Linked DNA regions of Notamacropus eugenii. The protein of the gene in region 2 interacts with the protein of the main gene of each other region in a biochemical or structural test. Links are inferred from orthologs where the notes say so. Each region holds a gene or a part of one and is shown on either strand. Other genes may lie near its edges. The genes, in order: TAX1BP1 and MYO6.

The links.
Region 1: the proteins of MYO6 (region 2) and TAX1BP1 form a complex in vitro, tested with the Homo sapiens proteins (5 studies listed by BioGRID, with this or other methods). The link is inferred for Notamacropus eugenii from reciprocal best matches to the Homo sapiens genes MYO6 and TAX1BP1.

Annotation. Positions count from the first base shown.
Region 1 is NC_092874.1:18,734,788-18,750,670, reverse strand, and holds the start of TAX1BP1 (tax1-binding protein 1), read right to left. Parts: upstream 5,806-15,883; 5' UTR 5,526-5,805; intron 1-5,525.
Region 2 is NC_092873.1:145,785,967-145,801,932, reverse strand, and holds the start of MYO6 (unconventional myosin-VI), read right to left. Parts: upstream 7,041-15,966; 5' UTR 6,644-7,040; intron 1-6,643. UniProt on the Homo sapiens protein: Myosins are actin-based motor molecules with ATPase activity. Unconventional myosins serve in intracellular movements. Myosin 6 is a reverse-direction motor protein that moves towards the minus-end of actin filaments.

The DNA.
Region 1 (15,883 bases), on a different chromosome or scaffold from region 2:
TAGTGAGAGACAGCTGCCTGAGGCCAGTGAGAGAGATGAAGCCGCTTGTCCCCTCTCTCCGCAACCAGAGAGAGACAGGCCTGAAACTCAGCTCTTCCTGCCTCTCTTCCAGCCCATGGAGGTGCTGCCATGCCTCCAAATAATGATTATGTTATCAGCTCAATGGGGTCTCCATGCTCCATAGCAATCCTTGAGTCCTTTCCTAACTGACTCTCACTCCCCAAGGGCTGGTCAAACAAAGCCTTTCTGAACTATCTATCAGTTCTAGCCCCTTTTCTCCACCCATCAAGCCCTCACACATCTCATCGTTTCTACAGCATAACCAAGCTCAGGGCCTCCAAATTCTTCCCTTTCCAAGATTTCCTCTACACAGGTGCCAAGATAACCTTCCTAAAGCACAAGGGTGCAATGGATTACTCCCTCCTATGATCAAGAATCTACAATGACTATTGTTTCTACAGGAAAATATCATAGGTTACAGTCTACTTTTCCAGTATTATTTCCTATTATCCCTTCCATGGATTCCACATTTAAACCACACATGCTTTATGGAAGTCCATCTCTGACTTTTTAAGCAGGGAACACACCCCTCCTCATCTATACCTCTTAGAATCCATAGGGCCACCTCCTACGGGAAACAAATTCATTAGTTGTTTTCTCCTTCCTCAAATTATCATGTGTGGATGTATCTGTTTAATAATAATAGCTACCATTTATACTGAGCTTACTACTGGCCAGGCTAGTGCCAATTTACAAATCTTATTTCATCTGATCCCCAACAGCCCTGGGAGGTGGTATTATCCCCACAGATAGGCAGAGAGAGATGAAGTGATTTATCAGGGTCACACAGTTAATAAAATGTCTGAGGCTCTATCTGAACTCTGGTTTTCCTGCCTCCAGGCCCAGCATTCTATCCACTGATATCCCTCCAGCTGATGTAAGTTTCCTGAAGGCAGAAATGGTTCTGTGCTTTTTCTATACCAAGTGTCTATCACAATGTACTGCCTGCATTGGCCTCTTGGTTAAGGTCCTCATCCCCTTGGATTCCTGCCTAATTGCACTGGACTCACTGTTCCCTTGAGCCAGCCCACTCCTTTCTGCTTCAATCCCATCCTGATTGGGACCATTCCTTTCTACCAAGAAAAAGTACTTAAGAGACTTCAAGGCTGTCATTCTTGGCTGCCTTGAGATAACTCTATCAGTAAGACTCCTCTAGTCTCATCACTGAGTCTTGTCCTCTCGTGATCTGCCCGCTCTCCAACACCAAGACCAGTCAGGACAGCACGATTAAAGTTTTTTCCTCATTTATAACAAAAATATGGAAATGAAAAAAGAAGTTAGGTTTGTCTTTCATGACAAATCCAATTTAAATCATTAGAAAGACTATTTAATCAGTGTTGTCTGGCAAAATGTATGCTTACCTTAACCTTGTCTGGATTGCTCAGATCTCAAATTAATGGAAATTGAATACAAAAGAAATGTCATTCAGGAAATGTCAAGGGCACAAAAATCAATAAATGTGACTATTAAAAATTCACAGAATGCTCAGACTCAAGGAGTAGGTGTCATTTAAGTTGAGTTTTGGTTAACTCATGAATGGTAAGTGAACTCTGCAAACAACTCAAAGTTTTTCACATTTTGCATTCTACATCTATGAGTGACAAATAACAATTTGGCTAATACAGATTTGCCCAAAAAAAGCAATTTACTATTTTTATCATGCTAAGTCTTCCACCTTCAACAGCTCTAACATTACATACCTAATATTCTTCATGATAATTCTCAGGCACTTTTTTTTAATCATTAAAGAAATAATCTATTTCTGGCACCGTAGTAATCGTCCTTGTTTCCCAAGTCAACGAACGTTTGTGGACCCAGGACTGCACTGAAACTCTACCCTGTAATTTACTAATTGCTGTCAGATACTTTATTTAGAAAGATACTTAAGTCAAAACCTTTCTAATGTGATGTTTCCTGACCTTTCAAATAACAAATACAGGTATTGAATGGCTTAAAAGTCATTAAAACCAAAATCTTAAAATGGTTACCAATTTCTATTATAAAAAATTAACTCCTTTTTTATAGAGATTAAAGCCTGTACAATTTCAAAATTTGCCACCAAAGTACATTATTCCACAATCTTCTGTGTGTAACTGAACATTTCAGAGAAAGAATTAAGTTCAGCTGAATTATTTAAACAGAGGATCTCAAACATTTGGATTGATTAGGAAACCTACCTAACCAGATATATTCTCAAACTGGTTACTCCAGCAACGCTGCCCAAGGGCAATGTTTACTCAAAGGGAATAGCAGCCAGAGAATATTTCAATTCCCACTTAAGACTAACTTTCTACTTCATCCTGCACAGTCCACCCAGTGGTCTTAAGGCTCTGGGAAGATGGAAAGTACTTCTTCATGAAACAGGCAGAAATAACTTTAAAATCAAAAGGCCTCACTGTGTGCAATTGGGGGTTGGCACAGTGCTGAGGACAAGCCCACAGATTTAATCCTTTTGGGGAGGGAGGGAAGGACACAACATCCTCCTTCCCAAACTCCAGTCAGTCAAATCTAATACATGTCAAATCTTGAAGACCTAAGCATAAAACTGAGAAAGTTCTTTTTCCTCCAACTTACACTATGCCTTTGACTTTATGGGCTGCTGCTTCCCAGAGATAACATAAGTGAAACAGCACTTTTCTTCTAACTTTTAGTCAAAGAGGCATTTATTAAGCACTGTCCAAAGCACTGGTGATACAAAGAGAAAATGAAAAATAATTTTAAAACATGGATTCATTCCCAACACCGAGGAGTGCTGTGTCATGGTCATTGTGCTTGTCTGAATTCTCACATGTCAACATTATAAAAAATAAAATTCAAAACAAAAATGTTTCCATGACTACACTGGAGGGGGGTTTCCCGTTGGAATATTGTCAAATATTCACAGAACTAATAGAATTATTCTCTAAATGGCAATACAAGTAACTTGCAATACATATCATAGGATGAAACTGGAGCTGATTAAAGCAGGGATAGGTCATGATTTTCTTCCCTTTCCTTCTATTTTAACAAATTTCCCATCTTCAAACCATCACAAATTAACAGCTAGATGACTCTGGCTCATGGAATGGAATAAAGAATCCCTATCAGTTCCCTCCAAATTCTGCTAACCTTGCTTTCACCTGGTCCCTCCTGTCCTCTACATGTGTAAATGGCTTCCAGGAGTCTGCAACTGCCTCAAATGCCCTCGCTTTCTCCTTTTCTTCCCCCAGAACCTGATGGAGTCTCCCACCGCCTTCACTTTGTTTGGAAACAGCACCATTCCCAGAGGAAACACAGCCCTGCCGCACTGGCAGAGAGAGAAGCCCTTCCCATTCACCACCCTCCACAGAAGGAAGGGCAAATAGGAGCCACAACGGCGACTTCAGGCTTCAATCTCACTTTCTGCTACCAAGGGTCCAGGAATGGGAGACCAATTTAAAATGAGTGAAAACTGAGGAGTCAAAACCAGGAGTTACACACAATCACAATCACACAATAGTCCATTTAAACATTTCATGTTGCCTATCCAAAATCTCCAGTTAAGTCCTCAGCCTGCCAAACCCAATTTCTTGGGATCCTTACAGGTCACCTAGGAACTCTACATCAGGAAGTCTTTGAACTAAATTCTTAATCTTAATTCTAATTTATTCTAAATTCTAAAGGCAATAATTGCATTGTACATTTCTGTATAGAGTCCTATATACAGCTCCCTATGTGAACACAGTGGGAGCTCGGTAAGTATGATTCCCTACACTTCTCTAGGCAGATTTTACGGTCCCATTCAGACAAAGGATTGTTGGTTATCACATTTCCTTCCAGAATGTTAACAATAACCAATCTTTCTATATACCACACATATGATCTCATTCGACCTTCACAAGAACCTGTTACGGTCAGTGCTATTATTTTACAAAGGAAAAAAGTGCAGCTGAGAGCCTGGTTAGAGCCTTGGTCAGACGAGCACAGCCAGCAATGTCTGAGGCCGGCTGACGGTTACAAGCTCCACGGCACTACCCATTCCACTTTAACGAACTGAATGCAGCAGGGGCAATCCTTAGGAAAAGATCCGTAAATGATGTCAGCGGTCATAAGCTTCTTTCCAATCACCTTATGTAATTTATCAGCTCTAAATAAGGATGACACCAAGGAGGATGGATTGTGATTTTATTATTGAAATAAAGAACTTCGACTCCCTCTCCTAAAGCAGGTCAGCGTCTTCTTCGACTTCTGGTGTCAGAGAAGGGCCAGTCCTCGTCTGAGGCAGGAGTTGAACCCAGATCTTCCTGCCTCTGAGAATCCAGCCAATAAATGAGCCGGCACACTAAATGTTACCACTTTCAGAGAAAGTAGAGAAATAGGCTACATCTCTATCCATTTTTTTGGAGGTAATGGAGGTAAGTGACTTGCCCAGGGGGTCACACAGGGTCAAATATCTGAGACCCGACTTGAACTCAGGTCCTCCGGACTCCAGGGCCAGTGGACCTCTATCCATTTTTAAAACTACGGACAGCCTCCCACTGCATTTTCATTGCATATTCCACCTACAGACACCTGAATTAGTCCGCTCCCTCCCGCATAAAACCCTTCAGACAGAGGCCACCTAAACACCTGAAGAGCCCTTCAGAGCAGCACCCTCCTTCACTGTTTTAGAGATACTTCGAACACGTCACCCTCCCAGAGGGCTGCCCAGCCCAGGGTCAGCCCGGAGGCTACCGTCTGCGTCAGCTGAGAGGGACCCGGGGCGCGCTTGGTCCAGTAATTCGGCTGCAGGAAGGGGAAAGCGCACTTTTACGGGGCCTTCCGTAACCTCCCCCCCGCGCCTGGCTGGCATCAAGCCCTTAAGATCGCCGCTCCGAGGGCCGCCCCCCGCCCCAGGCTCTCGCAGCCCCCCTTAACTTCCCGGACGTTTCTCAAAAGCCCAAGTTCCGACTCCACTTGGTCTCCGGCCCCAAGTCGGACGCGCGGGGTCAGGCTCTGCCCAACACCTCCGCTGTCCGGTGAGGTCAAAGGGCACTGAACCCCCCAGCCCGCGCACTGCCTGGGGGAGGCAGAACGGCACTGGCCCATCCCGGAAGTACGCGGGATCCCTCCCCGCCCGCAGGCCCCGCCCCTCCCCGCCCCATACACAAACACGGGCTCCCGAGCGCCCCGCGCTCCCCTCCCCCTCCCGACACCCCGAGGACCTGGGCCGCTCCCCGCCCGCCCCCCCTCAGCTCCAGGGCCCAGCTCCTCCTTCTTTACGGTGCCGCCCCTGGTTCTGCCTCCGGGCCCGAGTGGGCCAACCGACCAGCACTCATTGGGCGCTTAGAGTATACGCGTGGAGGCTACCGAGATTCTAGTCCCGGCGTCTCCTCTTCTGGGAAGCTCTCACTTCACGAAGGGGAAACTGAGGCAGAGAGCGCCCGCCCCCCTGCCCCCTGGGCCCGAGTCCCTGCGGGCACGTCACAATCCCGCCCGGCCTCCGCCCGCCAGCCCCGGCTTCTTACCCCAGGCTGGCCCGGAGAGGCCTCTGCGAAGGCTGGGCAGCGTCACCAGGGCCTCCCGCTCAGAATGGCCATCAGCCACCGGGCGCCTTCCGCCACAAACAGGCGGACGAACGGCCGGACCTACGGACCGAGGAGGAGGAGCGGGGAAAGGAGGGACGGAGGGAGGGGCGAGCCAATCGCGGCCGTGAGCGTCACTTCCGTCCTTCCGGGAGGCTCGCTTCCGCCGCGTGCGTGCAGCCTCGTTCCGGGGCAGGAAGGGGCGCGCCGGGGGCGGGGCGCCAGGTCTGCGCAGGCGCGACGACCCCGGGCTTGAACCCGCCACTCCCCTCGGCCAGGGGCTGGAGTCCCGCCCCCTGCGCCTTCCCATTCGGAGCCCGGGACGGAGAGGGACATGTCAGTACCCGAGTCTCCGTGTCTGGGTTCGAATCCTGCCTCCCCGAGGGCAGGCAGGGCTGCCTGGCTTGCGTCACAGCGCAGTCAGGTTTGCAGAGCACGTCTCATAACAGGCCCGGGAGGGGGAGTTGGGGGGGCTGTTATCGCCCCCATTTCACAGATCAGGGAATTGAGGCCCACACTGCTACAGCTTCGAGGCACGATCTGAACCCAGGGCTTCTGGGGCTCGCGGATGAAGGGGAAGGACTGTCTCCTCCCCTCCCGCCTGCGACATCCCCTTCCCCAGCGGAGGGTCAGCCCCAACCGGGGAGGAACTTTGCCGAGGTCTCTGTCCTCTCTGATGCCCAGCACGGAGCTGGCGGACGGTGGAGTCGCGTAGTAACCACTAAATAAATAATGGGAGCCCGAGGACCTGGGTTCGAATCCTGCCTGACCCGCATGGCCGGGCGGCCGTCTGCCATCCGTGCCGTTGTCTTGGGTGCCTCCAAAAGCTTCGGGCCCCCACGGCTCGGATCCAACCCTCGTCTACAGGACATCAGTCAAACTTCATTTGTACAGAAAGCCACTGTCGTGGGCACCCCTTGCTTACTGGTCCAGTAAGCCTTCCTGCCTCTCCCTCCAGTGGTTTCTGTGTGTCTACAGACACGTGTGCAAATGACATACACGTACACAAATACGTATATGAGGATAAAGGCAGCTTAGTACTTACATCCATAGAGATACTACACGTATAGTGGTTACTGTAACTAGTATAGTGATAACTGTAACTAGAAATAGAAACTGACATTAGTAAGCACTTTGCTGGGGATGGTTTAATCTCCATCTGAAGATCTTGACCTTTTAGAAAGTGAAGAAACTTTAGATCTAGTGACATCAGCCCCAGGGTTTTTCCTGGAGTTTTTCTTGCTTTGCATTTTTTAGCACAGTCAACAATTAGGGCAATTAGCTTCCATTCTTATCTAAAAGAAATCCAGGGGTTCAGCCAACCCCACATATGCTAATACATTCCATTTTAATGATGCCCGCCTTGACCAAGCACCTAGAAGGTTTATGGTAGTATCAGTCAGCAAGATATACTGAGTGTTCAGTGTGATGCAAGATACTAGAAAGAATTTAAAAAGAAATACCACATCCGGCAATCTGTGAGCTCAAGTCCAGTAATAATGTGGACATGACATCTGTGCATAAAATGTTAACTACCAAGAAAAAGTTATCAAAGCTTTGTATTTTTCATTTCATTTGCTTTTCATGATGGCCCTGATATTATTGAATATTCCTATTTTGCAGATGGGAAACCTGGAAGTTACCTGCCCATGACCACACAGCTACAAGTATCAGAAACAAGATTTAGGCTGCTGAGGCCAAGTCCACCGAAATGCCACCATTACCATACTGCCTTTTAGTATAGTAGATATCTTGGGAGTCTGGAGAAAGGAGTCGCCACTACAGAACAGAATGGGGGAGGGAGGCTTAGTAGAAGAGGAATAGTAAGTGCTTGATTAAGTGATCCTGGAAGGTTGAACTCCACTGTGTGAGCAGATGGAAATAACCCATCTCTCCTCTGCTCAGGAGTCAGGAGCTGCAAAGGATGCAGAAATACCAGATACGGTCTCTGCCTAACACACATAAAACAATCATTACCAAACAGGCAGCATACCACTAAGCTTAAGGTTTTGTAGCACACAACTCTGCTGTGAGAGAAGAGAGGAGAGATTATTGTCATGACTTCATGGGAGATCAGACACCAAAACAGATCTTGAAGATCACGTGGGATTTCAATGGCTAGAGAGCAAGGCAGAAGGAATGATTCTAAGCCAGAGATACAATAGGAAGGAAAGCCTTCCTTATACTTTTCAAAATGGGAATGAACTTGGCATTTTCTGGAGACATTGAGAATAATAACCTAAATACAAGTTAGGGATTAATATAAAATAAGGTTAGAAATAGGGGCGAACCATGTTATTCAAGACCTTGAAAACCAAGCAACAGTTTGTACTAGGGACTTATGGAAAGATACTTGTTGTCCAAAGAGGATCAAAATGACATCACTATGCTAGAGTCAAGTTACAATGTGTCCAACTGTAGCTGATCAGACCAACATGAGCTCAGAATGTTCTGCCGCAGGTCAGGCACAAATAGTCTTTGTGAACATTTGGGGTAAAATGAGATTGAGAAGGGGACCTTGAACTACTTGGGTAGGAAGGGCATTCAAACCTATTCAGAGTCCAGTCAGTTCTGATCTTCTGAGAGGAAGGGGGGATACAATTGTGGGAGGAGCGAAAGATAAATTTAGAAAAAAGAAAGTTATGCCTAGCTTACAGAAAGCCTTGAGTATCAGACCAAGGCGGGATATAGAGCCAATGAGGTTTTTTGAACAGGAAAGTAGCATGAAGAAAGATTGAATAAGAAAGGGAAATTGGAGGCAGAGAAAATATTTTGTCTTTGCATTCCGTGTGGCTGGCATAATGAAACTGGAGGCTGTGGAAATAGAGGCCTGAACCACAGTGAGGGCAATTGATGGGGTTCAGACTCTGAGAACTTCCTTGAACTCCCCTGGAATCTCCTCACTTAACCTGGCTTTTCATACTCAGATTGAGCTCTCCTAGTATCTCCTCACTTAACCTGGCTTTTCGTACTCAAATCTGCGGCCATTGTCTGTTACCTCTTGATTGTCCCACCTGCTTCCCACCTAGGCGCCCCCTAGTCTGATATCTCCTGATAGCCTCCAGCTGTTTCCAGCCTTTGACCCTCCTTGGATTCCCTCCTTGAACTTCTCCTCAAGGCCCTTCCTAAACCCCTCCTCCCATCACCCTGGACACCCCCCCCCCCCCCAGATCCCTCCTATACTCTTTTCTGTGTTTAGTTCCATCTCACCTCCATGAAGGCACTCAGATGCAATCCAGCTCAGACTCTGTCTAGCTGGGATTCTGTCCGGCCCGCTTGTGAATGCAAGCGTTACAAGTGCTTAGGCTCCTTAAGAGGCAACCCAAGATGGCAAATCTTTAATAAACTTTGTTTTCTTTGGCTTTAAGAAGACTTGAGTCGAATTCATTCTAGCACGACCCAGACTGTCAATATTTTGGGGTCCCCATCACCCCTCAACCTTGTCACACTGACTGGATGCGGAGATCGGACATTAGAAGCCAAGACCTTAAGTCAAAGATGGCATAACTAAGAAAATGCTGATGGCAAACATGGGGCGAGACAAAATGGGAAGACATGTGGCGTGGAGAGGAGCAACAGAAAATTTGTCTTGTGGCGTGCTAGTGATGTTCAGTCCACCAAGTTAGTCCAGCAGTATATTTACTTTGGACAAGTGTTGCAAATGAGTCATGATGATTTGAGATCAGATCTAAATAGGAAGCTGAGTGCTTGCATTTGGGAAGTGGTGTAGAATTTTCTGGGATCACAAAGTCCCTTAGTGCCATCTTTTAACCCCAGTATTCTTCTAGGAATACCATATGGCAACAAACCAAGGGGTACCTTCAAAGAATCAAAATGGTAGATGGTCCAAGAGTCAGTGGAGAGGTGCTTGGTAGTGTCAGGAGCCTGTAACCTATGCCAGGATACAGGAAATAGGGTAAAAGCATCCTCACAAACATGTTCAGTAAAGGACATGTATGGGGAAAGGAATGAAGAGGTAATAGATGCAAGGCCCTGGGTTGCACTAGAATCCAGGAAAGATCCAAAGACCCAGAACAAGGACTCTGGCATGTAGATTGTGTGAAGACTTACAGGGTACAAGTTCAGAAAATACACAAAAAGGGAAGAAGGCATAAGCTGCCATCCCCACTGGCCCTGGGACTCACCCTTGTTGTACTCACATCCATCAGAGTATTAAAGAAGCTTTTCAGTAACTTTAGAGATGATGGTATGGAATAATAGAGGGCCTGGTAGTGTTAGTCAGGAAAGAACTGAGTTCAAATCTCAATTTGACTGTTTTGTAGTGGTAGGAATGTGGACAAGTCTCTAAGCCTCAGTTTTTTCATGTGTAAAGAAGATATAAAAATCTTTCTACCTCAAGATATATATATTTTATATATTTATATAAATAATAATAATAAATAATTTTACATAGATATAGATATATTTGTATATATATCTTCCACCTCAAGAGATTATTGTGAGGATCAAATGAAATGTGTTACTTGTGGTAAAATTACACAGGGCACATGTCAATCTTAAAGCACTGTATAATATCAGTTATTTATTTCCAGAATACTTAAGTGTTATAATTGGGGCTATAGTCTCAACCCATTAGCTAAGAACCTAGAATGAAATGACTGGACAAAGATCAGATAAACCATGTCATCAAGATTCCCAGCACACTGAGCAAATTCCTAAAATGCAGAGGAACATGGTTCTGTTACACCTGATAATGTGTAGGAGAAAAGGTCCAAGAGTCTGAGTCAGGGAAAGTTTGAATCAAAACCAGTCATACTCATGCTCCTTACTGGGTCAAGTCACCTAACCAATCACCCTCAGTTGTCTCATCCAGAAAATGGGCATAAATCTCACTTAAGACTATTAACCTTACCTAGCTATTGTTAAGGAATAACTCAGATAGGAAGAAAAGAGAGAGAGAGAGAGAGAGAGAGAGAGAGAGTGTGTGTGTGTGTGTGTGTGTGTGTGTGTGTGTGTGTGTGTGTGTGTGTATCCTTGTAGCCATATAGGCTACAAATATAAATGTAGGCTATTCTCTTTGTTATACAGCAAAGTTGCTTTTTTTTCCTTCTTCTAAATTTAAGGTTTGAATTAAATTCCAATAGAAATGGAATGTGATTAACCAACTTTTCATGGTGTTCTAAATATAGCACCCATCTATTTATACAATTTCCAAATATATACTAATGGCTCTAGTTTAATTGGTTTATTAAAAGTTTCTTAAAATTTTTGTAAGCAAATTAAGTTGCAGGCCAGGATCAATTACTAAGGCTGTGTCTATTCTAAGTAAAGCAAAAATTGGTGGTTAATTTAGTAAAACAATAGTGGTCAAAAATAAAACCGACCCTAGCCTGATTTAGCACATGTGGGTTTGCTATTTATGCTGATGAAGTTAACTGGCTTAATGCCAGATCTTTATTTCACTTCAGAATCACCATCTTCATTTTTGTTCTCTAAGAATTCTCATGGAAAAAGTAACCAGGTTTCATTCTAGAGTGTGAAAGAGCACCCTCCAATGTATAATGAGCAGCTCCGTTAAATTTCCGGACTCCAGAGATAGAAGTACAACCATCACTGCCCTCAGGGAGCAGTCTAGGGAGGACACAGTTTGTACCTATATTTAGGTAGATTCCAAGAGACACAAGGTAGTTGTTTGAGGTATTTTTATGGGCGTGAGTTTAGAGAAGGGATGGCACTAGCAGCTGGGGGCTTCAGGGAAGACTTCCTGGAGAAAATGGCCCTAGGCGTGAACCTTGAAGGCAGAGGTGAGGAGGAAGTAGAGTCCAGACCTGTGGAGCAGCCCCCGTTTTGAGAAAAGTAATGCAGACCTGTGCTTGGAACAGAGTAGACTTCCCACGTTGCTACGGCTTTCTCTCTCTTTCTGCACACTTTGGATTTTCTGTTCTGGCACTTAATTGGAGCTGATGAAGAAACCCATTTAAAGGTTGCCGGAGCTGCCCATACTCCTAAAATTGTCTCCATGAGATTGACGAAATTGGTAACTTTGTTCACATGGGTGTGGGTGAGAGCAGACATGTTCATTCTGCTTGGATATAGGAGAATTTTTTGTCTATGGCAGAAAGAGTGGGCCTAAGGTGTGAGACTTGGCAGCCTCACAGAGTACAATGGGCATAAGAAAGCACACATTGGAATGACTGTTATTTCACAGTAGGATCCCTGTATTGTCAAGGGGCAAAGGAATGTTTCAATACAAATAAAATGTAGGCTTTCACTGGGGTCCTTCTCTCAAGGGTCCTATAAATACCCTCATTCTGAGGGAGTGTTTCATTTCTCACTTAGGGGACTCAGTTCATCTCTTGACACCCAGTATGGAGGGAAAAGTAAATGCCAACAGCCACAAACACTACACTCCCAACAGGAGAGACCAAGGAATGATTTGGATTGAGGATTTGCTGTTTGAATGTATAGCTCTTCCAAAAGACTCCTCCTACTCCCTCCCACACACCAACATATCTTTTAACAAAACCTCAAGAATCTGAATGACACCAAAACATTGACCATGGTAGAGATGAACAGAATAGATAGACGGACTCGGTCCCATTCTCTATCCTGAATTCCATTCCCACACCTCCACATCTCCAAGTGGATGTCTTGAAATCAGTGTGTACAATGTGTGCACAGAGCTTACCTTCCTCCCCCATTCCCATGCCTTCCCTTCCAGACATTCTCTTTCTGTTGAAGGCATTACCATCTCTCCATCCCAAGTTTACCAACTTGGCATCCCTCTACTCACACTTCATCACATCCAGTCAGTTGCCAAGCCTAGTCCATTCCACACCCACAACATATCTCTATCCCTTTTTCTCTACTCCCTGAGCCATCCCTCTCTCTAGTCAGGTCCTCATGGCCTCTTGTTTAGACTTTGGCCAAAGCCCCTAATTAGACTCCAAATTTTCCAATTACCTCCCTCTCCAATCTGTTCTCCACACGCCTGCCAAAGGAAAATGCTTTCCCTGCTATAGAACTTTCACAACTTTTGCTTTCTACTCAGCAAATCAGCCAAAGCAAGGAAAAAAGTGGATCTAGTTGATGTTGGACAGTTGTAGGAGGCATCCACTAATTCATCTTGGTCTCTGTGACATGGTCCATGGGACTCATTCTTTTAGATGAAAACTTCTTGGTTGGTTTTATCAAACTATTTTTTCTGTTTATTTTTTACCTTTGTGATAAGAAGAGGTTTCTTAGTTGGTTGTTGTCCTTCGTCTTCGAAGGGGACCAAAATGACATCACCATTGTAAAGTGAAATTTCAGTGTGTCAGACTGTGGCTGATCAGACCAATACAAGCTTGGAACGCTCTACCACAGGTTGGGCACAGATAGGCCCTGTGAATATTTGGGGTGATTATCCCAAATTTGAGCATCCTGTGTTTACTTTGTGCTGTCCCAATTCTGCTTTGCTCATAGAGCACAGCACCTTTTGGATGTGGGCACGCCATGCTGAGTAGTCCTGTGTCGATGTCTCCCATGTTGCACAGTCAAATCCAAAGTTCTTGAGAGAGATCTTAAGTGTCCTTGTATTGTTTCTTTTGGCCACCATGTGATTGCCTGTCCCATGCAAGTTCTCCATAAAATAGTCTTTTTGGCAAGCATACATTTTGCATTCAAACAATGTGGCCAGCCCATCAGAGTTGCACTCTCTGAAGCATAGTTTGAATACTTGGCAGTTCAGCTCGAGCAAGGACTTCAGTGTCTGGTGCCTTACCTCAGAATCTTCCTAAGACAGTTCAAGTGGAAGCGATTCAGTTTCCTGGCATGGTGCTGGTAGATTGTCCATGTTTCACAAGCATATAACAATGAGGTCAGTACAATGGCTCTGTAGATCTTCAGTTTGGTAGTCAGTCTAATACTTCTTCTCTCCCAAACATTTCTTCAGAGCCTCCCAAACACTGAGCTAGCTCTGGCAATGTGTGCATCAATCTCACTGTCAATGTGTACATCCCTGGAAAGTACACTACCAAGGTAAGTGAATTTATCCATAGCATCCAAAACTTCTCCATTTGTTATAACTGATGGTTCTACATGTGGATGGTGTGGTGGTGGCTGATGGGGCATCTGTGTTTTTTTGGTGTTATTATTAGGACAAAATGAGCACAGGCAGCAGAGAATTGATCCATACTTTGTTGCATCTCAGCTTCAGAGGTTGCGTTGAGTGCACAGTCATCTGCAAACAGAAAATCATGCCCCAACACTCCCTCCACTTTGGTCTTGGCTTGTAGCCTTTTCAAACTGAAGAACATACCATCAGTACAGTGGTTGACTTTGATGCCGTGTTCATTCTCATTGAAAGCATTTGTCAACATGGCTGAAAACATCATGCTAAAAAGCATGAGAGCAAGCACACAGCCCTGTTTCACTCCATTGGTGACTGGGAAGGCACGAGAGCTTTGTCCATTATCCAGAACCCGGGCAAACATGCCATCATGAAATTGATGTACAATATTGATGAAGACAACCAAATTTTGACATAATTTTTCATAAATCCTCATGACTAACAGTGTCAAAGGCATTGGTCAGATCCACAAATGTTGTGTACAGACCCTCTGTTCTGCTCCTGATTTCCTAGTAGGAGAGAACAGACAGAAATGCTTTGCAGTGATTTCCTTTTGCCTCTAGGCTAAAACACAGATTCTTCAGGCTGACACATAAAACCCCTTATTACCTGGTCCTAGCCTACCTTGCCAGGTTATTTCATAGTACTTACCTTCACACGCCAGTGTATGAGCTATTTCCCCAAACTTAGCAGTCCATCTCCCACCTCGCATCTTTGCCTAAGCTAACACCAGGAGTGAAATGGATTTGTAAACCTCCTGTCTGCCTTTTATACTCCCTAACCTCCCTGAAACCGGAGCTCCTTTCTTTATCCCTTCTTTTGTTAATGTTTTTACAATCCCGAAATCATAGTGTAAACTATTTAGATGGTACAAAGTGAGGCTGGAGCATGTAAATTCCTTAAGGGCAGAGATTTTTAATTGTCTCTATAACTTCCATAGCCTACCTTTGTGCCTTTCTGGCATATAATAGGTATTTAAGAGGAGCTTTTAGGTCCCAGAAGGGTGTTGGTTCAGTACTTTCAGTTGTGTCTGACTCTTCATGATCCCATTTGGGGTTGGGTTTTTTTGGGGAGCAGAGATACCAGAGTGGTTTGCCATTTCCTTCTCCAGCTCATTTGATAGATGAGGAAACTGAGGCAAATAGAATGAAGTGACTTGCCCAAGGTCACACAGCTACTAAGTGTCTGAGGCCAGATTTGAACTCATAGAAATGACTCTTCCTGACTCTAAGCCCTACTACCACCTAGTATGGAAATGCTAAGGAAGATGGCTTTTCTGGAAGAAAGGCGGTTACTGTAGGTGAGGGCAGTTCTCTCACCCTCCTAGAATCTCTAGAGCTAGAGTGTTTTGGGACTTGGGGTGCAGTGTGAGACCAGCCTGGTGTCATTTCTTAACAGTGTTTCTAAGATTTGCTGCCCAGCTGTTGCCCAACTAGAAGTTTGGTCCCTAGTAGCCAGCTCCTTCTCTATTCACAGAGACTGCTCTTTGTCCTTCGTTTTCAAAGAGAACCATAGCATCAGGGAGGTGCTGCCATGACATGCAATGAATTGGATTTAAATGAAGGAGGGCTGTGCAAAGTCACCAGCCTCACTTTCTCCTTGGGAGCCATCTGGGTCCAGTGGCCAGATGTGGATCAGGACAACTAGATGCCCTGGATGCATCTATATTTCTTTTTCTCTTTCTTTCTCTCTTCCTTCCTTTCTTCCTTCCTTTTTTCCTTCCTTCCTTCCTTCCTTCCTTCCTTCCTTGCTTCCTTCCTTCCTTCCTTCCTTCCTTCCTTCCTTTCTTACCTGCCTCTGTCCAAAAAGAATGTAAATCTTACTCTCTGAAACTTTTTACAGTTTTTTCTCTCTCAAAGACCACCCTTAACCCCAGATGCCTTTGGTCCCAGACCAAGCCCTGCTTGGTCACTGTTTGAGCCTTGATTGGCTCAGAATGAATGTAAATAACAATTGTTTCTATTTTTGCCAGAAATCCTGGAGATCTTCCCCTCCCAGACCTATTTTTTTTAAAGTGGCCGTTCCTTGCCTCATTTTTTAAATTATTATTTATTAAACCTTAATCACTGAATCCTGTTAAAGGTGGAAAAGGCCCCTGGACTATCTCCAGTTGTCCTGAGAAATATCTGGCCACTGGACCCAGATGACTCCCAAAGAAAAAGTGAGGCACAGTCCTCCCTCACTATAATCCAATTCACTTTCATGTCATGGCATCACCACCCTGATGTCA
Region 2 (15,966 bases):
AAGAATACTCTTAGAATCTAAGGCCTTAGCAAAATTGTACCATTTGTTTTTAATGTCCTTCTAATGCTCTTTGAACCCCCTAAGCCTCCTGACCTACCCAGAAGAACTCCATGTTCCTTTCCTTTATCCCTAGTCTGTATCAAAATCTATCTGTCCTGTGTCCCATTTTCACAGAGCCCTATTCTGACAATGTGATAATGAATGATTCTAGCTGCTACCTCTACAAGGTAATACATCTATATTGTAACAAAGGTGATTCTAATAGCCGGTATTTCAGGCATATTGAAAGCCAACAGTGGAAATATATGGATCAGGCAAGCTTTTCAGAGTCCAAGCTCACCTTCAAATCACTAAGTACTTGTGACACAGTCTAATTCACTGACTGGTAGTTCAGCCCTACTTAATAATAATTATTACTTGAGGTATATAATTAAAGAACTTCAAAACAACAATAAAATGTTATTTAGGATTGGAAATATGTAGACACACCTTCACCTTATTCATTACTGACATCTAAATATAAAGACAAAAATATAATTATAATCAACAAATAAATATTTTTCAAAAAATGTCACTTTTTAATGCCACATATCACAGTCATAAAATGACTTTTTTAAAATTAAATTTTAAAGTGATGCACTCCCAAAAATAGTCATCAATTTCCACCCAAAAAAATAAAAGAAGTCATCAATTTCACCAAGAAAGCTCATATGCTAATGATAAATTATCTAGTACCTCAACTATTGCTCTCCAATAAAAATAAAAATTTTTAAATTATATAAACTTCTAGCTGCTAGATACAACTGCCAGAAGAATGTTAATGTCCTGATATTCAAATATTCCTAATTCAATATAACCAAAAGAAAACAAACACATAGTTTACCATAAGGCAATGTTAGGAGGTTAACACTAGTAAGTCCGGACAACCTTCAGTGAGAGAAGTGCCCACACCACTATCCGAAAACATAAGCAACTTCAGAATTTAAATTCTATCTAACACTTATCTGTTTACAGTTATGCCTTTTCTCTCTCAACTATATTACAAATTCCTCAAAGGTTTACATGTCTTTGAAACCCTCACATTTGATCTAAGACATGCTCTCAAAGTACAACTGTTCTACTCTTAAACTTGGTAGTCAAAGACCCCAGGATAGATGCCCAGTCTAATTTCTGTCCTTACTTCTCACTATTCCCTTGCACATACTCTGTGCTCCAGTCAAACTAGCCTACTCACTATTCCTCAAACCTACCATCCTTGCCCATGTTCCTCCTCGTACCTGGAATTCTTTCACCTACCCACATGTCAAAAATGTTGCCCAATCTGCAAATTCCACCTCAAAACCCACCTCCTTCACAAAACTTTTCCTGATCCTCTCAGGTACATAAATGAAGGAGTAAAAAGAATAAGCAATTCATTCTCCTTTATTGCTACCTCTATCATGGCTCTTGTCATACTCTTTGTACCATAGTTACCTTACCCTGGCCTTTATACTCACCCAACTAGATTATACCCTGCTTGAGGACAGAGATCACCTTTCTCTTCTTTGAATCCTCTACATGTGTCATTAATACTTGCTGAATGACCATAGATAGAGAGAAACTTGACCGTGGGTATAGGAAACTCCCAAATTTCCCAAATGACAAATTTGTACTACCAAGACAGGTCAGTACCTTCTTCTCTGCACCTTATAATCTTTGAACAAAGATTCTTAATCTTTTTTTTGTATCATGGATCTCCTGGGCAGTCTGATGAAGTCTATAGATCACTTCTGAGAATAATGTTTTAAAATGCTTCAAAGAAAATACTCAGGATAAAAAAGAAACCAAAGGTAGTGAAAATTAAAATGCATTTTTTTCCAATCCAAATTCATGGACCCCTTGAAATTTAGCTACAGATCCCATGGAAATCCCTGAACCCCAGGGTAAGAAGTTCTGTGTTAAGAAGTTGCCTGGACATTCAGAAATGTGACAAAGTCATGTGATAGAAACAGGCTAGGAACTCCCATCTCCTTTTGAAAGAGGCAGAAATTGAGTTGATTATGGGAACTACCTGTGTCTGAAAAGCACATGTGACCATTCACCAGTTAGGGGAGAAAGAAGAAAATATTCAGAAATTAGGGTGTTATAAAAGCTCAGAATGCCAATAAAATCTTTTAAACAGATGAAGATGATATTGTTGTTGTTACCCGGAACCCTGAGAGGTTAAGTGTTGTGGCTGGGGCGCAGGCAGCCAGTATGTGTCCATCAGCACTTGAACTCTTGTCTTCCTGGCTATGAGGCCACTTTCAATACATTATACCAAGTGTACATCTACAATACTTATGACCTACTTTAAACTCCTAGCCCAATAAAAATTCCTGTCACATGCAACACCTTACTTTACAAACTTGTAACACTACCCATCAAGAGAGCACATACAGCATATACAAAAGATTTCTATGGTTTGCTAACGCAACGTTTTACTAACGCCTTCCTTTGTACATTAATTAGTGGCATCATATGAGTATACAAAGAAGGAATGCACTACAGCGTTTTGGTTTCACTTGAGACATATTCTTTCCACATAACAAATAACTTCCTCTCTGGTACTACAACATTTCTGAAGAAGGCAGATGGGTCAGATGGGTTCTTCTAGTTATGTTTCTTGTGGTTTGGTATTATTATGTGTATACTTTTGACTTGCTACATTTCCCTAAGCCACAACTTATGTAACTGTTATTAAAAATTGTTGTTTACTTAAGTTTGGCACCTAGAAAATTGTGTAGTTACTGCTGAAAATTATTTTAAATGGATTTTTTATTTAAATCTGTTTGAATACTCCAACAGCAGAATTCAGAAGTTCATTTCAACTCCAGTTCAATTATCTAGTGCAAAGATAAGGAGTTGTAGTGCTGATAATACAAAAATAATTAAGCTTGAGAACGCATTTCTTATTTGTACTAGTACATTTGTACTACATAACAGAAATAAAAATGTGCATTTATATTTATATATGGTTTAAGAATTCACAATACTTTAAACAAAACAACAAAACTCCCCTATTTTAAAAAAAAAAAAAAGGCAAACCAGTTTGCCTCCTCTCTACTCTTTTGCCTGATTCTACCTACCTCTTATTTTCATTCAATAACTCAGATGCAAAAGATGCTGGTCCCCAAAGCAACTGCATGGTCCTTTCTGCACACTAGCTAGCTTGTATCTTCCTAAAGACAGGAAAAGACATTATTTTCGACTAAAGAATTTTCCCTTTCAGTTCCTGCTTATCTAAGATAAGCAGAGGAAAAGGGGGATGGAGAGAGCTTAATAAAGCAGTGCTGTTGTTCAACAACAATTAATCAGTGCAAGTAGCAGTATAAAAACTGTTTGAAAATAAACTCTCTTTGAAAGAGAAAAGTTGGCTGAATAGGACTAAGAAGGATACTTCACTCTTATGGGCAAAATATTTTCTCTTAAGGAAAATAAAACAGTATGTGCTAACTAAAAGCAAGTTACTATTCATTTTAGCTACAGTGAAAACTGATAGCTTTACTCATCTGCGTAAACCAGGGATCAGGTTACAGCAAACAACATATCTAATTCTATGTTCTATAATCAATACACTCCATTTTAGTTAAACAATAATAATTTGTGAAAATGTGGCAACAGATTACACTTGATACTGTTTAGTATTCACTTGTTATGAAAGAAAAAAACACAAAGGAATTGAGTTCATCAGAAGCTCCTATCTATTACTATGTACCCATATCAAATCTCCAATTACCCTAATACAATACCACTTCCTCAGGAAATTTAAACAATTCCCTCTGCTGATGGGTTGATTCAAGGTATAACCACATTGTTTCAAGTATCATAATTCAATTAAACCACAATTTACCAAATGCTAGTCATTTTTTAAAGAAATTTTAATCAAGTCATTTATGGATATGAAATGCAAATAAGCAATTTCCAAGTCACCAAGTTTCAAATTTTCCATTTGAGACAGGCATGCTCCATAATTCAAGATTCTCTTAAATATAAAAAGTAGTTAACCAACTAGATAACAATTTTAAGCGTTTCAGATACTTGTACTTATTCAAATCAGTCAAAATCTTTTTTTAAAAGTTGAAGGAAATGGCAATCCAGCTCCCCAATAAAGCAAAATTGTCTAAACAATGGATGACATAATATTCAATACACATTAAGCACATTCACAACAGGATGAAATTTCAGTGGCTCTCTCACTTCCTGACTAATGTTCTTTACAAACTTTATCACTGAAACTGTTTTTTATACTTTAGGTCAACTTTTGATAAGATACCGAAATAACCCAATGAAATAACTGAAATAAAAATAATATGGTTTGGGGGGGGTTATTGCAGAAGAAATATTTTTTGTTATTGTTTTTATATTTTCTTTTTTATTATAATGAACTTGACAAATATCAATGAACGTAATTATTTCCATACATGAATACAAATAATAGGAAAACATTATGATAGAAAACCACAAAGATCCACTGTATAATAGCTTTAAGAATATAATAAATTTAACAGTATAGTTCTGAAACTATCTTGCTCTTGTCTTTCTGAACTTGCCTCTGCTCTTTTCAATGTATTTTTTAAATGTTTCATTGATACTGTTTTCCTTCTTTTTTCTGATATCTCTATCAATACTCCCTCCCTTTCACCCACCAAAAAAAGATTACTTATTTTTAACAGTTTCTGAAACTGTACTTGAAGAAAAGGTTCAAAGAACAAAAAGATTTTATATAAAATTCAGTATTCAAATTTACAAAAGGTTAAAGGGACCCTTGTTTATCATTCTACCTATAAACTTCTGTGTAACATCTAAAATAAGTTTAGTACTTGAAAAAGTAAATTTACAAAAAACAAGGATTAACAGCTTTTATTGTTTCTTCCTCTGAGAGTGGCCCACCACATGGTATTTATATAGCTTGACAAATGAAAGATGACAATTTTGCTGAACAAGTCCTAATCATCAAGCTGTAGCTGTAGCACAAGGAAGACATCTCTTTAAATTCAGTTAATTTGTGCAAAAAAGCCCTCTGCTTTGCTGTTAACCTTTGTACCCTGACCACTACCAACCCAAGTTCAAGATCCACATTTTATGGCAAGTGTAATTTCTGTTAAACCTTGAGATCATTTTTATTCAACAAGTTATGCTAAAATCTTGTTTCCTCCAGAAGAAAAAAAAATCCCCAATAAACTCTGACTAGATATATATCTGTATCACAAAATTGTAACACCTTCAAAAACTTATCAAAGTTTCAGTAATATTCCTCACTAATACTTATGGGTTAGTATTTAAATACTGCCTCCATAACATGTATTATGAGAACACTAATGGATGTAAAATTCAGTATATTCTCATGAGCAGTTGGCTAACATCAGGAAAAAGGACAGTTATAAAACTACAACTTCCCTGAAATCAAAATCACAGCAACAGAAGGCATTTTTTTCCCTTGTAGGAGTATAAAGTTTCTTTAAAATTAATTTCTATTATTTTTAGAACAATGTGAAAAAATGTTTTGGTTTTTTAAATGCTTAACCTAAGCACTTACACAATTATATTATTATTAATGCACTGATTCTTTCATTTATATAACAGATTTACTTAGATGTTTCCATTTTTTTTAAGTCATTTAATCATAGAGGGAGATCTTGGAAGAGTTAAGAAAATGAAGCTCTGGCCATTCATTATATAGATGGGAAACTATGGGTGTGGAAAAAGGAATAGGCCTGCACAGCCTAGGTAAATGTGAGCTAGTTTTGCTCAACTGCATTTTTTTTTTAATTTCCAAGAAGGAATGAATGGATAGGTGGCTGGCAGGGGAATAATATACTCAGAAATGAATGGGATGTAAAAACAAAAGGCACCCATTTTTCAAAAAGATGTTTATTCTAAAAAAAAAAAAAATTAAAGCTATCTTTGTACCACAAATAAAAGATTACTGTCAGTGTGTTCCCTCGGAGATTCTATCTCCAGTTTATCCGGTCCCTATCTCGTTTGCACATAAGTGGGAGCTCCTTGAGAGCAGGGGCTGTTTTTGCCCTTTTCTAGTCCCCCGCACTTAAGCACAGCACCTGGCATGCAGTAGGCGCTTAATAAGAAGTAAACGCCTGTTGCCTTGGCTTGATTCCTGCTGCATTAGAGCAAGGTCGTTTTCTTAATGATAATCCAGAAGGAATTCATTAAGTGCTTACTAACCAGCTCCTAGAGAAAAGTTTTCATTTTTTTCCTCCCCAACGGTGCCAGCCTCTTACAGAGAGCGTCAGGGGCAGACACGGCAGGTGGTTCCCGCAGGAGCGGCCAGGAGCCTCCCAGGCTCCGTCTCCTTCGCCACCTGGCCGGTCCAGAGGCCGGCCGAACCCGCAGCTCCGAGCGAGCCGGCACGGCTGCCCTGCGCCCCGGCCCAGCCCGGCCCCTCTCTCCTCCGGAGGTCGGGGAACGGGGGAGAAAGGGGCCGGCCGGGACCCCTCGCCTCTCCCCAGTAAGACCCTCACTCCCCCACAGCCCCCTGCAGATGCAGATGTGCCGCTGGCCGGACTCCCGGGCAGGGGCAGGCAGGGAGGCCCCCGAGCCTCTCGGGCCGCCGGGGCACGCAGCCGCCCCCCGGGGTGTGGACACTCCCTCCTCCCTCACTCACCTGGAAGGGGAGGCAGGTGAGCCGCGGCGGCGGCTGCGGGCGGGGTGGCCCCGGGCCGAGGCGGCCGGGAGAGGGAAAAGAGGGAAGAGAAAAGGGCTGCAGGGACCGAGCGGCTGCCCAGCGGGAAGGAGGACAGGGCGCTGGCGCCGGGCTCCTGGCGGTGACGGCGGCGGCAGCGGCTCCCGGTCCTGCTCCACTTCCTGCTCCCAGCGCAGCTGAGCCCCGTCTCCGCCTTCCCTTCCCTCCCTCCGCCCGCCGCGCCGAGCAGAGTCCGAGGGAGGAACTCGGCTGCGCCTCACGTCACCCACTCGGGGAGCCCGAGAAGGCGGAGGCGGGGGCGCCGGCGCCGCGGGCTAGGGGCGGGATGAGGGGCGCGCGCCGCTCCCAGGGAGGGGGGGGCAAGGGAGGCGCGCGCCCGCCCCCTCCCAGCCCGCGCCACCGCGCGCGCCCGCGCCGCCACACACCCTGGCTCCCCCTTCAGTCTCCCGTCCCGCGGCTCCGCGCCCGCATCTCTCCACCTCTGTCCTGCCCACTCCAGCGCTCGGTCCGACAGATCGGCCCCGAACGGCTGTGCGCGGGAGGGGGAAGGGCTACCAGGCCGGGGCGGGGGGGGGGGGGGGGGGGTCGCCCCTCTTTCACGGTCCTCGGCGGGGGCCAAAAGGGAGTGTCATAGGATCGCACATTAGGAGCCGGAAGGGACTTCAGCGGTTATTCAATCCCGTCGCCCTCATTTTACGGACGAAGAAACTGGGGCCCTGGGAGATTAAATGACTTGCCCAGAGTCTCACCAGTGACCTGTCTGCTTTCATAGGAGCAAGTGTCAAAGCCCGAAACGGAACCCAAGTCTTCAGACAATACTTCTCCCGGGGGGGGGGGGGGGGGGGGGGGGCGTGAGGGGGGGGGGGCGGCACGGGGAGGGAGGAAGGGTAGAGGGAGAGGGTGGGGGGGGCGGGGGAGAGAAACTGACAGATCCAGTCTGCGTTTCCTGCGGTGGAAAACCTTCCTCCACACTTGATTGAGTTTCCAGCATCAAGAAAGTAAGTGTCCACCAACTCTAAAACTCTACGTACTTAAAGAAAGAAGCCAGTGTTTCTGGGAAAGAAACCAAAAATGTTGTGGGAAAGGGGAGGGAGGCTTAAAGTATCCCGTCACAGTAATTAAGTTCTGTAACTGACCAGTTTGGGTTTTTTGTTTGTCTTTCTTCTAGCGTGGAGAGTCCATTGAATACGAAGTCTGAGAGAGGAGAAGAGGAGGCTGCTCCTGAAGTGTATTAGCTGCTCCACTGTCTAATTTATCTAGAACATCTAGAAACACACACACGCTCGCACACTTAGATACAATGTATCTGTATTTGAAATCCTACTTTTGTTGGATTTTTATACGAAGCCTACTTCCAAATTTATTTGTCTCTATAGGAGGCAGAGGGTAAGAATGTTTCATTTCTATTTGTGCTCACGCCCCTCCCCTAAAAAAAAAGGCAGCTTGAACTTTAAAAAGCGTTATCCTACTTTTAGTTTGTCTTCATTTTCCATAGTTGATTTGTTTGAAAATAATTTTAAAATCTGAATAGGTAGAAAGGGCTATTCAGACAGGCATTGCTTGATGAGTCTTTTGTCAGAGGTAGTAGCACAATGGAAAGAACAAGGAACATGAAATGAGATCTTCATTAACTGTATGGTCTTGGTCAAGCCATTCATCTGCTCAGCCTCAGTTGTTTTACCTGTAAAATGGAGATTCTGATACCAGCGTTGCTTCACAGGCTTGTTGTGGGGAGCACATAATTTATAGGAAAGAACTTTTAACTTGTACTATATAAACGTAGCTCTTATTATTATGGTTCTTCTGAAGTAATAAATTTTCAGTTTGGAGAAAATTAAATTCATCCAAGATGCTGAACATTTTTATGAAAAAAAAAGGAATAAATTTCATTTGAAAAGTAGATTTGTTTCCCAGTATATCAAAGTAGCCACTTTAAAAGTTCAGAAAATCCTTGATAACGTATAGACTTTAGGGAGCAACCGCCACAATGAATTACGAAGAATGTACTGGGAGAAGGAGGAAAGAGGAAGAGAAACCAAGAAAGGAAACAATTTGCTGGAACCACAGAAATCTCAAGCTAGCTAGACAGGAAGTAAATGTTAAATAAAGGTACCAAGCAGAAGGAGTAGTGAGAAAAAAACAAATATTAAAGTATTGCTATGGCATCTTGTGTCTTCCCTTTTTTGAGTTTAGAATTGTATATATATCATTCAACTTAAAAGGTGCCTGGAAACCATTAGAAACTAATACATCTTAAGAAGTATAGGGTAGTATATCATATGACTATGATTGACAGCAAAAGTAAAAAAGGAATGTGTTACATATTTCAGTCTCAGTTCCTTCTCTAGTTAAGCATGATTTCCTAGCTATCTGTTCTTCCAAAAAATACTCCTAAATTTTGTTCTTTTTCTGTTTTTTTCTTCCAAAAAACAGAAATACTTCCCTTATTTTACAAACTGAAAGAAGCAAATTTTCCTCTTCCTTTGGGATATTCTAGTCCTTTCCACAAGTAACATGTAATATATCATCCAAAGAATCTTGAGTTTTCTCTAGCTGTAAACTTCAAAGATCTTTAGTTTGACTGTGATAGTCTTACACAGCACTAGTATAGCATTTGTATCCACAAAGTCTCAAATAAACTGGAGAAACATTTATGGAGTGACTTGGACAAGAATCACACAAGATGATAACAGACAATAACCATTTATAATGTACCTAATGCGTGCCCAACACTATACTAAGTATACTAAGTAGGAATACAAAGAAAAGCAAAAGATGAACCAATTTTCAAAAAATTCACATTAATGAGGAGACAATAGACAAACAAATAGGTACAAATGGGCTATTTATAGGATAAATTGGAGATAAGATAACAGGTATTAAAGGGGATTGGGAAAGGCTTCTTGTAGAAGATAGGATTTTAGCAGGTACTTAAAGAAAGTCAGGAAAGTTAAGAGGTAGAAATAAGAAGGGACAGGATTCTAGGCATGGGAGACAGCCAGCGAAAAATCAGAGTCAATATAGGATGGAGTGTGTACAGTAAGGAGCAGCATTCTTGAGCACAGTGAGTCCATGGGGTTAAAGCGTAAAGAGAGTGGAAAGAGGGGGGCAGGATGGAAAAGGCTTGGAATGCCAAAAGGAAGATTTTATATGATAGGGAACTGCTGGATTTAACTGAGTGGGGGGTGACAGGGTAGGAACAGAACTTTAAGATCACTTTGACAGATGAGTAGAGGCTCCATCAATCAGTCAATAATGGGCCAAAGTGGAAAGACAATCGTGAGTTGGAACATGAGGTGTAGAGGAGAGAAGGAATCATATATTAGACATGTTAAGAAGATTAAATCAACAGGACATAGCAACGAATAAGATATAGGTAGGGGGAGGTGCAGAGGAGGGATGCCATGAAAGTCAAGAATTGAAAATGATAACTAGTTTGCAAGCCTGATTGACTATAAGGATTGTAACATTACTATCAATAATAACATTGACAATAATAGGGAAGTTTGGGAGAAGGGACAACTTGGAGAAAACAATAATGAGTTCTGATTTGTACGTGTTAAGTTTAAGATGTCTATGAAACACAGTTCAAGATGTCCGGTTAGAGATGTGAGACTGAAGCCAGCAGAGAGTTAGAGCTGGATAAAGTAGATCTGAGAATCATCAGCAAAGAGAATGCATGAGACCTGATGAAAACACTAAGTGAAATAATATAGAGGGAGAAGAGAAGAAGGTCCAGGACAGAGCCCTGTGGGGCACCCACATATAGTGGGAGTAACCAATTAGCAAAGGAGCAGTCAGATAGATAGGAGAATCAGAAGAAAGCAGCGTCACAAAAATCTCGAGAAATGAGAATACTAAGGAGAAGAGTGTAATCCATAATGTAAAAGTCTGCAGAAGAGTCAATAATGAAGAAGATGGAAAAAAGGCCAGTAAATTTGGCAATTAAGAAATCATTGATCAGAGAGAGAAATTTGGAGAGAGAGAAATTTTAGTTGAGTGATTAGGTCAGAAACCAACTTTCAGAGTTAAGAAGAGAGAGAGAGGAAAGGAAGTGGAGGCACCCATCATGGACTACCTTCTTAAGGTGTTTAGCCATAAATAGATGGAGTTATATGGGACAATAGCTAGTCCGGGTAGAGGGATCAAGATTTTTTTGAAGTTTGAGGACAGATGTGCAAGTTTGTAGGCAGAAAAGAAGCAGTGAGTAGACCTGAAGAGATTGAAGATGACAGCATGGATAATGAAAAGCAATCTGCTGAAGATGAGAAGGAACAGATAGATAGATGTCCATGGGTTGGGACTGATTCATAGGGGGACAAGTCCTCTAAAATAAGAAATTATTTTATTAATCCCATGGATAATCTACTATACTGTAATTAATTAATCCTAGAGAGTTTTTAGAAAAAGAGTAAAGCACAAGAAAACACTCTGACAGTAAGAATTTCATTAAAAAAAAAAACAGCTTCTAAGGTAGAACTTAGAGGTACTTTCTACATCTACAATGCTGCATTATGATTACTAGAACTTAGTCATTTGCAAATTCCTCAATCATTAACAAATATATTCACTTCTGTACTTACTGTGTCAAATTTATTGGATTAGTAAGATTTTCAGCAACAAAAATGAAATCAAAATAAAATTTCTACTGAAGTCCTAGTTAACCAGAAAACTCACCATTTTCCTGAATCTTCTAGTTACTTGGGATTCTACTGTGGTTTCCTTCATAGGGACAGATTGCATAAATCATGATATGCCAATTTACTGCCGAATGACCCCTGGAGGAAGTTACACAATTATACTGACCTGTATCTACTACAAATCTGTGTTATCTAATCTCAACTGGATCCCCATTGCTCCCGAGTCAATTCTTTTACTTTTTCCTAATTGTCTAATGAACTTCTCACACAGATGTCTAAACCTCTTCTCTCTTCAAACTACCTGTCTGAAGAACAAAAGACCTTGTCACAGCTCACTGAGAAAATGAAGCCTTTTCTCACCTCATATCCCTTCAGACTCAGTCCCTATTTCAGCTTCTTTTGTTCCAGTAGTCTCTGAGGAAGTAGCCCTTCTGGCTAACTCCAACCTTCTACTTGTGTCCTTTACCCCATCCCCTCCCATCTCTTCCTGGAATTTGCCCATTGTAATCATTCCCTAGCTTTCTGATCTTCAATTCCTCCTCCACCACTTCCTCCCTGTTGCCTCTAAACATGCTCAGATCTCCCTTATTCTAAAAATAATAATAATAATAATTAATTAATTTTGCTTGATTCCACCCTCACTTCAGATGACGATGATGATGATAATGATAACCAGAGAGAGCTAGAGAGAGCCAGAGAAAGAGAATCTACCCTTTTTACAAACCAACTCCAAGGAACCCCATAAAGTCTAGATAACTCTTTCCAAGGTTACTAACATCTTTTAAATGTTTTAAATGTTAATCCAAATGACTTTTTTTCAGCCCTTTTTTTCTTAATTTACTTGTAGCATTTGATGTGGTTGACCACTCCCTCCTCCTGTATACTTTTCTCCCTGGCTTTTCATGATACTCTTCTCTGTTTTGTTTGCTAGATTGTCATCCTTGTCCTCGCTTCTCCCTCTCCTCAATGCCTGGGTGAACCACATAATTCTAATCTAAACCTTCCTTTCACTCTACAATCTGTCTTGATGATTCCATCAACCTTGATCATCACCTCTATGCAGGTGACTCCCAGATTTATATATCCAGCCCCAATCTCTCTCCAGAGTTCCAGCCCCATATCACCAAATGGATATCTTTACCTTAATGTCCTGTGTATTTTGAACTCAACAAGTCAAAAATGGAATTAATGATTTCTCCCTAAACCCATCCTTCTCCCACATACTTTTTTCCTGCTAAAATTACCACTATCATTCCAGAAACACAAGTTAGCAACACAACATCTCTCTCATCTGTTCTCTTTTCTCTGTTCCCACTGAGGCTCTCCTCATCTCTCACCTGGTTATTGAAATAATCTCTTAATTCATCTTCCTGCATTGAACCTCTCTACACTCCAAATCATCCTCCACAAAGCTGTCAAACTGATATTCCTGTAGCACAGGTTCTGACTATATCACTCTTGTCCTCATGGAGCTTTAGTAGTTATTATTGCCTCAAAGATAAAATGTAGACATAACAAATATAATGAATTCCTGTTAGGCATTTAAAACTATTTACAGACTAATTTCATGTTACTCCTCCTCACGAACCTTATGTTTCAGCTAAGCTGGCCTTCTGTTTCCTGTTCGCTCCAACGACCCTCCTCAACCCTCTTCTCATTGATAGAGGAGCTTCACCATATACAAGACCCTCATGTCACTTTTGGTCACATCAATTTCTGGCCAATTTACTGTTCATTCTCTTTTCCCTGTGTTGGGAATATTCTTTCTCTAACTCTTGTTATAATGATGATGATGATAATAATGATGCTGATGATGATCAAAACTAGCATTTATATAGCATTGTAAGATTTGCAGAGCATTTCACAGGTATTATTTCATTGAATTCTCACAACAACCCTGAAAGGTAGTTGCTACTATTACTACCATTTTACAGATGAAAAAACCAAGACTAAAAAAAAAAAAAAGTTAAGTAACCTGCCTAGGATCCCAGGTAATAAGTGTGCAAGACAGAATTTGAACTCAGGTCTTCTTGACTCCAACACTAATTCTCTATCCACTAACTATGCCTAATTTATAACACCTTGTTGGAGTAATTAGCTTGGTTTAAGCTAGCAGACAATACAATAACCCCTTAATGAAGTTCCCTCCTCCTAGGTTTTAGGAAGTTTGAACAAAAAAGTTTTTAGTTCAGTCACAATTTCTGAGTCCTCAGGTAGGAATCTCTGTCTCCTTTCAAGGCTCATGTCAGGTACCACCTCCTACACAAGATCTCTTTTCACCCATCCTACAAATTGTGGATGCCCTACCTGTCACTTAAACTAAGATTTTGGGGAGAGTCTGTATATACAAAATGAAATGAGCCTTGAAGGGAGGTAAAGATTCCCAACTTGGGGCTCAGAATGATGGTGACTAAACTCGTAACTTTTTGTTTAGAATAAACTATTAAAATTTTAACGATTAAAGTTTAAAATGCACAGAGACTTTTAGGACACTTTGTATTTAGTGCAATGGGGTCTGGTTTATGTACTAAATATATAAAATATAATTTCCCCTAATGGAAACACCAGAGACTTTGCTTCTTCGAGAATTGTAGTGATAGGCAATGAGGTGGTTCAGGGGATAGAGCACCAGACATGGAGTCGGCAAGACCTGAGTTCAAAAATGGCATTAGATACTAGCTATGTGACCCTGGATGAGTCTCTTAACCTCTGCATACCTCAGTTTCCTCATCTGTAAAATGAGAATAATAGTAGCAACCACTCCCAAGTTTGTTTTGAATATCAAATGAGATAATAATTGTAAAGTTATAACACAGTGCTTTTTACATAGTCAGTGCTATATAAAATGTCAGCTATTATTATTATACATAGATGTAATGGGTATATCTTAGAAAGTCTGTGGATAGACGTTATATAACTGGTTTCTATTAGCTAACCACATGATGAATTCGGCTCTTTGATTGTCTGCATAAATGGAACTGGGGACATTTTCAAAAATGACTGAGATTAAACCTAGTTCATCTTGCCTCATTCTCTTAATTTTTCCCTCACTTATCCTCTAGTCTCCTTGTTCCTTCATTAAAGGGTATTACTCCCAGGAGTACTGATTTCTCTTCTCCATGGACAGTAAGAGCACTAGAGCACTATACACCAGATCTATGCAGATTATAGATTATAAATTCCCCAGGTACTTGGACATGGTGGGGGCAATGGGGTGCTGAGTGAGTTGATTAGTGACTAACAAATAGCTTACTTTGCTATTAGTTTATTGAATTGTTACCTCGTTGTATTTCTAGACCAGTGGTGTCAACTTCATATGGAAAGGATCCACATGGGCATGTTATTGACACCACAACTTAACATTATGTTAAAGTGAATTTTTATTTATTTTATTAAACATTTTAATCTGCCTTACTGGTACTCTGGAGATTGACACCTCTGTCCTAGCTGAAATTGCTTTATCTTATGCATAATTCTTATTTTGAAGAGGTATAGGAGATTGTGAGGATCAGAGAAAATGTTTAGTCTTCCATCTTGTTGGTCATGTCATCCAGAAGTTGTCTCATTCTCATCAACTGGCTCTAGTGGTTTGACTCCTTCACTAAAAGTGTCAGGTCAGGGACTATACTGTTAAGGGAGAAAAAGGCCTTGGGATCTTCTCTCCATCAAGGCCCTAAGCCTGAGAAACACAACTTAGTCCTTGATGTATCCCCAAGGTGTTAAAAATATTTCTAAAACTGTTCTTGCTACAACTTTGAAGTAAATATCCATTTGTAAAAGCTAATTGATGGTAAGTGGTTAAATGAAATTGAGACTCTACTCACTGACTACTAACAGGGTGGAGAACACAGACCTAATCCCATGGCAGGAGAAAAGAGACCCACCTCTGTCTCCCCAGTCAACTCAGGGTTCATTAGAACTGTGAGGGGCATATGTAGCTAGTTGCCTCTAGGATAGAAGGACAGAGAATATTCACGATATTTGTATTTATTTACATTATACAAGTTATAAACCTCAGTAGAATGTAAACTATTGGAAGACAGAAAATGATTTGCTTTTGTCTTTGTATTTATATCACTTAGCATAACATCCGGTGCATAGAAGAGGTTGAATACTTGTTGAAATGACTTGAGATCAAAGCAGCAAAACAAATGGAGTTAAACTAAACATCTAGAATTATTATAAACTCTATAAATTTTTTACATTACTATATGTCTTTGTAACTTAATATCTGTGTAAACACAACATATATTGGTAGCAAAAGCCACGAATAAAACTTTTTGATTAAAATAATTGTTGAACATATCTTCTGAATGATGTTGTTAAACAGAAAGAGTTAGAGATATGTGGACTCCACTCCTTAAAGAGAGCAATATTTTGGAATAAGTCAGAAAAATGAGAAGCTATCACCAACCAGGAAGTGTTTTAATTAAATTAGAATTAAGGTTAAACATTATCAGAAGGTTAATAATAAACATAGTCTTGAGAAGAACAAATCAGTTAATGGAGTCACATCAGCAATGTCTAGGGTTTTTATTTCATACCCTAACTAAACATGATATTTTCAATAGTTCACTAAAATCTCAGTCATTTACTCTTTGAAAATTCTGAAATTAAATTTGTTTTCAGTAGTGAGTTTAATTT